Linked DNA regions of Schizosaccharomyces pombe. The protein of the gene in region 2 purifies or fractionates together with the protein of the main gene of each other region. This does not show direct contact. Each region holds a gene or a part of one and is shown on either strand. Other genes may lie near its edges. The genes, in order: SPOM_SPBC16A3.12C and dms1.

Region 1 (4,306 bases), on a different chromosome or scaffold from region 2:
ACGCTATAATAACTTAGTACCGCCATCCCATGATAAACCTAAGCAAGTAAAGCCTAAAACATATGGAAGGAAAACCGGTAGCAAGCATTATGCACCTTTATCCGATGAAACAAACAACAAAAGAGCATTTTTGGACGCATTTTTAGGAAACGGTGGAAATCTGACACCAAATTGGAAAAAGCAAACGCCAAAAGCAATTTCCAACAGCTCAGACAACATGACCCAGTTACACTTAGATTTGGCTAATTCCACCGTAACTTGTTCAGAATGTTCTATGGAGTACAATTCAACGAGCGAAGAAGATATTTTGCTTCATTCTAGGTTTCATTCTCGGGTTCTAGGAGGTGTTACTGTGTCCTTTCAATGCTCTCCTATTTATCGCGTTAACTATGGTTTGAGTTCCGATTGCATATACAGCATAAATTCAGAAAGCTCATTAATTGATCAAAGAAAAGCAGAGGAAGCTTTATCTTTCGTAAATAACGAACTTTCAAGTGAGCCTATTGAAACAATTGGGGTAGATAAATATACCACATTTCTATTCATATCAGATAAGAAATGTGTCGGATTACTTCTGGCAGAGCGTATATCTTCTGCATACATAGTCGATGAACTTGAACTCAACAACAACAATAGCACCTCTTCCGCAGTATATATAAAAAACGAAAATCTACGAAAGGGGTTTGTATTGGGTATTTCCAGGATTTGGGTATCAGCTTCAAGACGCAAACAAGGGATAGCAAGTTTACTATTAGACAATGCTTTAAAAAAATTCATTTACGGTTACGTTATATCGCCTGCAGAAGTTGCTTTTAGTCAGCCTAGTGAAAGTGGTAAACAGTTCATTATTTCGTGGCATCGTTCTCGAAACAATGGTTCTTCGAAGTCACTTCGATATGCTGTTTATGAAAGTTGAAAATAGTCTGACAAAATTAAAGTTGTTCTAAATATCTATCTAAGCGTTATATAGAAGTTTTTTTTTTAAATTATTAATTAATCATTAATGAAAACCGTTTTGTTTAACGAAATGTTTGGCTTTGCCTAATGAATGATGCTTAAGGGCATCTATTACAACTGGGAACACTTCCTCTTTAACATCCTGGCCCCATAGAAAGTCAAGATGTTCATAATGAGCAATCTAACTTATATTAGCATATTGAGCAACAAACCTATAAAATAAAAGGCTTACCGAAACTTCCTTTGCATGGGGAGGAAGAGCAGTTCTCATTACTTCCATATTGATCAAAGTATCTTTACCTCCCCATAGTATCAGCATTGGGCATTTGATATTATTCGTAGGAAACAGAGGAACTTGGTAATGGCGTGAACCATATCCAGCTAGAAGAGCCATATCGTCGTCATAAAGCTGGAAAGTACAGTTTTTTATAATCTGAAGCCAGTGAACAACACTCTTTACACTTGAAAAAGAGTAAAGATGTGCATAACCGCAAAGTTTTTGATTAAGAGAAATGTTGGATAGGTCCCAGTTGAATAAAATTTTAAGGGATACATCGACAATTTTTACAAAAATTGGGGGATCTGTAGAGTAAGCAGATGAAGTTGAAATTTAAAAAAAAGAAACATACAACATATATTTTGCCAAAAAGTGACTGAAGGTAAAAGACAACGGCGCCCAAAAAGATGATACATAATTTTTGGATTAACTTTGACAATATAGTCAACGAAGTAATTTGAAAAGCCTTTGGGAGCATAAGCAGGCGCTAACCCTATGAAAATATTTACTTTGTCATTCAAATCCGGATTAATGCTAAGTGCAGCCATTGCTTGAGCAGTTCCTTGAGAAAAGCCAATATAGTTTAGTTTTTCTCTTCCTGTTTCCCTCAAGATGTAATCAACAGTATCGGGAATATCAAACATGGCCATATCATCTAACGAGAAGTTCCAAAATTCTTCGTCCTTCGGTTTGTAAGTAATGTGTTTCCTGCTATACTTGTTTCCTCGATTGTTGCCCAACTAAATGTATTGTTAGTCAACGCCAAATATATCCTACGAAAATCTAATGTAAACATTTGCCCTTCTCATATTTGTTAAATCAATAGCTTTTCTTTACGCGTCTTCAACAATAGCTCGGGATAGAGTCTTGATCTGGCAAGCAAATAACTTACCCAAACATCATATCCAGATTCAATTAAAACAAAAGGAAGACTTCTCTCGGATTCATTAACTGCAACCCATAATTCAGAATTTGTCATGAGCCCATGGTGACAATAAACTACTTCACGCTTATGTTGGCTTTGCTTAGGATGTGTAATTCTATGTAGACATAGTATAAAGTTGTCTTGAGTTCGCACAAGGTGTTCTTCAACCCGATACCCAAAGGCTTCGCATATTTCATAAATGTTTCGACACTTTTGAACCGCATCGGTCATTCCATCCGTAGTTTTAGAGCTTATGTAGTAATGATACAGAACAATTATACGTACACGAAACCATTCCCTGACTCGCTCAGGTATCATGTAAATAAATATTCGTGCTACTAATTCGGTATACACACCGACGAAAGCTGCAATTACGCCAACATAGTCTCCCCTTTTTCACGTTAAAAACAATGAATCTTTTGAAGAGGATTGTTTACGTACCAATATATTTGATTTTTATTGAATCCTGACATACTACCAAAAAATTCGATTGTTGGTAAAAAATAGGCTGATCAACAACAACACCATGGCATACGAAAATATGATTAATTTTACAAAACGTCAATATCAAATATAACTTGAATAAATCGACTTTGTTTCTTTTTCTTTACATCAATCAATAGCTTTAATCATTTATTTCAATGAATTGATCTAAATTTAAATACAAAACAAGTATTTTACATAAGGGTTGAACTACTCGTAAATAAACATTTTTAATTGTTATCCTTTTTATTTAACTTTCCTGATCTTAACAATGAGGCTGATCATTCTGCGGCATTATGCAGTGTTACCATTAAACTAATGTTGTGGTCGCACAATGCAAACATCCATACATAGTAATTTAAGTTACGGTTTATATTCAAAAATAGAATGTTTATTTACGCCGACATATCAAATCATGAATTTTATTTGTTTACAGAAATAAGCTTCCATATTATGAAATAGTTCGTTTATTTGTTTATCAAATATAGCTCTCTGAGCAGTCCTTTTGTTTACGCCTAAAAATACTATATATACTTGGCAAAAGTTCCCTGTATCTTCACCGGAACAACTCACTACACGAAATGAAATTGTCATTGAAGGATCTCGCATTGTCAATCATTCTCGTGTTGGGCGTTGCTCCCCCGGTCCAGGCATTATCTGCCGAGGAATGGAAAAAGCAATCCGTTTATAATGTTATGACCGATAGGTTTGCTACCAGCAAGGTCGTACCTCATTGCGATGTGAAAGCTGAAAAGTACTGTGGAGGAAATTGGCAAGGTATTGTTGATCATCTTGACTATATTCGAGATTTGGGTTTCACAGCGATTTCTATTTCTCCAGTCGTTGAACAACTTGAAGGCCCGGAATATCATGGGGAAGCCTACCACGGGCATAGACCTAAAAATTATTACCGTCTTAATCCTCACTTCGGGAACGAAGAGGACTTAAAAGAGCTTTCAGATGCTTTGCACGGCAAAGGCATGTATTTGATGGTAGATGTTGCCATAAATCACACAATTTCGGAATATTTTGAAGACGATTATTTCAAGAATACGTATTTCGATAAAACTCATATTGATCACAAATGCAAGGAACATTGCTCATGCCATCACGACAAGTTCCCTCGCCCAGTTCCTCACAATGGAACCAAGCCTGACCATAAACCCTGGAAGCACGAGGAACACTGCCATCACGGTAAGTTCCCTCGCCCAGTTCCTCATAATGGAACCAAGCCTGACCACAAGCCTTGGAAGCACGAGGAACACTGCTCATGCCATCATGATAAGTTCCCTCGTCCAGTTCCTCATAATGGAACCAAGCCTGACCATAAACCCTGGAAGCACGAGGAACACTGCTCATGCCATCATGATAAGTTCCCTCGTCCAGTTCCTCATAATGGAACCAAGCCTGATCATAAACCCTGGAAGCACGAGGAACACTGCCATCACGGTAAGTTTCCCCGTCCAATTCCTCACAATGGAACCAAGCCTGACCATAAACCCTGGAAGCACGAGGAACACTGCCATCACGGTAGGTTCCCTCGTCCAGTTCCCCACAATGGAACCAAGCCCGATCACAAGCCATGGAAGCACGAGGAACACTGCTCATGCCATCATGATAAGTTCTCTCGCCCAGTTCCTCATAATGGAACCAAGCCTGACCAC
Region 2 (4,220 bases):
GGGAAGAGAATGATGTCGTTCTTCTTTCTCTTGTGCGCAACAATGACCGGACAGAGGTCGGATTTCTTTCCTCCCCACATCGCGTTTGTGTTTCTTTATCTAGAGCTAGGAGTAAGTGAGATTTTATGAAAGGAATTATTAACATATTATCAGGAGGATTGTTTATATTTGGAAATGCGCAACTTGTTGCGGAGTCGAATCCCTTGTGGTGGGACGCAATAAATACCCTCATGAATGATGAAACAATACAAGGTCTAGGAGATCACCTACCTTTGTTTACCAAAGATGGTACAATTTATGTAAATGGTAAGAAAAGCAAGCAGTTTCAGTTTAATTTTCTGACTCACTCTGTAGATCCTGTTGAATTGCTTGACGTTAATATGCGATTGACAAGGAAATAATGAGGTTTTAATATATTTATACTTTTACTTAAATTTATAGGGTTTCTACTTTTTTTTACAAACTTTTGTCAATAGTCACATTTAATATATTGACAAGCATTAGAAGGGATTTAATGAAAATAATATTCACGAACTGAGTTCGACAAATAGCGCGATAAAGATACAACACGACAGGCTTTTCAATAGCTTAAAAATATCTAGAATTTGACACAGGATGATTTAAGTGAACAGCCGAAAGTATAACGATTATGATGGACGAGTTTTTGAGGATGTCGTTTTTGAAGAAGTATGAAGGAAGCAAAAGACAGATATAGCAATTAGGGCTATGACTGTTGCAAAAATAACTTGAACAGACAGGATTGTGGATAAAACATTCGACAGTAATGTCTTTGTAAAATTTTCACTTTTGTCTGAAGAACTTTGCAGAGTTGCTTCCGTCATTGTGTCAAATGGAGATTTGTCCGGGCGCTTTACAGATTCTTCATTTTGGATATAGCGTTCAACAAGTCGGGATTTAATAGACTGGTAGATTAGTAATTGACGAATCAGTTTTTTAGCTCTTACATCTTTCTTAGTAGATTGAACGGAGGTTAGACATGAATCGATTTTGGAGAAAGCCATCTCAAAAAAGGACTCCGTGGCAGCGAAATGAAACTTATTCTCCTCAAAGGCTGATACAAATGCATCCTTAGGGGAAGTAACGGTACGTACTTGCATTGAAGAAAATTTTGGATGTAAAATGATAGGCAAACTGGAACTTCTGTATCAACAGGGTTAGTACGTAAACGAAGATAAAGATACAATCACATACTCATCCTCGAAAACAGTGGAAATATCGTTTGTGCTTGAAGCCTCTAATTGCTGGTAGAGAACAGGATCCACTGAGGTAAGTAATGTAGGAGAAGTGATAGAAACGTTTACGAATGCTTCAATAAGATGACAAGCGTCCTGTTTCGATAAAAGGTGATTGGGATCATTCTCCACAAATTCCGAAGCCAACTTTCGGACTTCTTTTTTCATCCAAGGGTTTTTCGTAAACAGCTCACTATAATGAATGTCAAGGAGAGTGATAAGTTCGGAAATGGAAATCTGCAACCATTGTTAGAGAGGAAAACAAGATGCTTCTATAGAAATGATTTAACTTACCTTCGAATGGGATATCTTGGAGATCTGTCCAAACAACTCTTGGCTTTTCGTCAATTCATTAGGAACGGAATTCATACTGCAACAAGTGAAACTTAATAAATTTTCAAAAATAAATTTTGATTTGAAAGCAAATAGTTCTCGAAGGGATTGAATTTCTTCCGGCGAAAGGAGTTTAAAGAAATTTAATTTTAGATGCAAAAGAACAGTGAATCAGAACAAAAAAGGAAGTTAATAACTCGATTTCGCTTTAATAAATAAAAATATTATCATAAACACATTAAAAATTCTATCAATAGACCTTAACTATGTTTTTTATACAGAAAGGAGTATGCCGTCAGTCAAGTTGTAACTATATTATCATTTCCATAAGAAAACTTCTTGTTTTTCCTATTGATTGAAAAATTTACTAATTAAATAGTATCGTAAACTTCAAGTAAAATTCATCAACTAAGTCGTAAGGGACTAATGGTTGAAGATGAACGAAGACAATTTCATAAAAGTTATCGAAGTAACATGTGACTTGAGTTACCAAATTATTGAAAAGGGCATGTAGTAGTAAATATCAGAAAAAAAGTAGGTAAATAATAACAAATGTAGGCGAGTTAGAATAAGATTCGTTCTTTTTTATTATTCCTTTTTAATCAACAATTTGTTTTTTTTTATTGAACCGAAAATCATCGACGCCGAGTAAGAAAGAGTGAGATTATAATAATCCTTGACATGAAGAATTTTATAGTGAAAAAGTATCTCTGATCTTAAAACTTTCATTCATTTTGTCAAGGTCTGAAATGGGGCACATTGGTCAAGTTTCATTTTGTTCACCCTACGAAATACCTATGCACATAATTCACACATTGACAAGGTACGGAAATGCCGAATATTATAATAAATCAAATTATTTCTAGTTTACCCTTCAAATCCTAAATCTCAAAAACTCTGGTACAGTTTCTTTTAAGTGATTTAACTTACATTAACCGAAGTGACATTTACAATTTTCGTTTCAAACAATATCTACATATAAAGTACTGTGTTATGAAGAACTGGCCATAGCAAGATTTTGCTCTTGAGTTCAGTAATTCTCTAAGTTTTAGTATACCAATTCCACATGCATATCGAATAATGCGCATCCTTTTATTTCATTTTAGGTACTTTTTCATGATAGTTTGACATTTATTTTTTAAATCTAAAAAATAATAATAATAATGTAATGCAGAAGCTGTTTCAGGTATCAACATACCAATAAATTCTAGGATTTCAATCTAAGCTTAATCACAAACTTGCGATTATATTTTTTGGTAATGCTAAACCATCGTTTGAAGGATTTTTTAAACCATTTTAATTACGTGTTTTGATATCTTTGATACGGTAAGAAATGGAGCTTTTGTTTCGTCAATTGCCAATCTACATTTTTCTTGTACGAAGGATTTTATAAAAAAATATGATGACAAAGTTTATGATTAATTCAAGATCCTTGACAATAAAATATAAACAAATTGCTATAATTAATAATAAATTTAGGAATATATTTAAAATGCCATAACACTCTGAACATTTTGAAATTCGAATTATATTCCTTTTCTTTTTTTTTTTTTTTTGAAAATTGACAGATCTCTTGGGAAAAACAAATTGTGATATAACCAATTGGGGTTAAAAGTACAATAAAAGAAAAAGAAATATTGGAGTAAATAGTAAAGAACTATTTTCAGCTTTATCCATATATATTGGATTCTTTTTCTCTATTTTTTGCAGCGTATTTCGTAACCACCAAAATCTCCAAACTTTGAAAACTTTAAGCGTCCATGCGTTAATGTATTGCTTAATCGTACTACATGAACCCGTATGAAACAGAGATTTATAAAGTTGTCCCCATTCCTAACAAAGGAATGGGTATGATTGCAAAAGTAAAAATCCCCGTCGGTACAAGAATTTTTGCAGAAACGCCTTTGATAAGGACAAAAAGTGACGCTAAGGAAATCGAGGAAGCACTGTCTACAAAAACAAAAGAAGAACAGGAAGCTTTTCATAGACTTTTCAACGCTCATCCAGACACTATGGGACCATTCCTTGGGCCATTTTATTCCAATGCGCTGACCATTGATGAGACAAAGGGTGGAATGTTTTTACTTGGTTCTCGAATGAATCACGATTGTAGTCCTAACGTGAAACATACGTGGAATCCTAGACTTGATCAGGTTACGGTTCATGCTGTTCGCGACATCGAGGCTGGCGAGGAAATACTTACGACATATATAGACTTACATAAATCACATACGGAAAGACAAAAAATATTGCTCGAGCATTTTGGATTTAAATGTTATTGTAGTGTTTGCTCTGTAGAGGAACGAAAGATTAGGAAAATCAGCGATTTAAGGAGAAAGCAACTGGCCTACTATGACCGAACCATGGCAAAAATGTGTATAGTTAATCCAAGAGGTGCTCTAAGAGCATTGAGACATAGGATACACATTGCCCACGAAGAGCTTCTTTTCGGTCGGTTAGATATAATTGCACTTCTGGATGCCTTCCGATTATGTGTCATCCACGGTGATTTTGAGAGAGCCAGTATTTTTGCAAAAAAGGGGACTAAAGCAATTAGTTTGTATGAAGGAACTGATTCTGAAAAATATTTGAAAATTTCCAAGTATGTAGAGAACCCACGAAGTCATGCTCTTG

What was found.
Region 1: the proteins of dms1 (region 2) and SPOM_SPBC16A3.12C purify together in Schizosaccharomyces pombe (affinity purification with mass spectrometry, with the first as the bait; one study listed by BioGRID). This does not show direct contact.

What each region holds. Positions count from the first base shown.
Region 1 is NC_003423.3:4,273,583-4,277,888, reverse strand, and holds SPOM_SPBC16A3.12C (triglyceride lipase-cholesterol esterase), read right to left. Parts: upstream 2,655-4,306; 5' UTR 2,633-2,654; coding exon 2,601-2,632; intron 2,551-2,600; coding exon 2,127-2,550; intron 1,975-2,126; coding exon 1,587-1,974; intron 1,540-1,586; coding exon 1,190-1,539; intron 1,139-1,189; coding exon 1,001-1,138; 3' UTR 917-1,000; downstream 1-916. Other genes in the region: mitotic cohesin N-acetyltransferase/DNA polymerase eta Eso1 fusion protein, read left to right, coding at 1-916; meu7 (alpha-amylase 4), read left to right, coding at 3,224-4,306. UniProt on the Schizosaccharomyces pombe protein: Probable lipase.
Region 2 is NC_003421.2:2,032,385-2,036,604, forward strand, and holds dms1 (protein Dms1), read right to left. Parts: upstream 2,015-4,220; 5' UTR 1,623-2,014; coding exon 1,548-1,622; exon of another isoform or gene 1,491-1,547; coding exon 1,213-1,490; exon of another isoform or gene 1,162-1,212; coding exon 966-1,161; exon of another isoform or gene 924-965; coding exon 648-923; 3' UTR 501-647; downstream 1-500. Other genes in the region: helicase Hrr1, read left to right, coding at 1-111, 154-306, 355-401; histone lysine methyltransferase Set5, read left to right, coding at 3,377-4,220.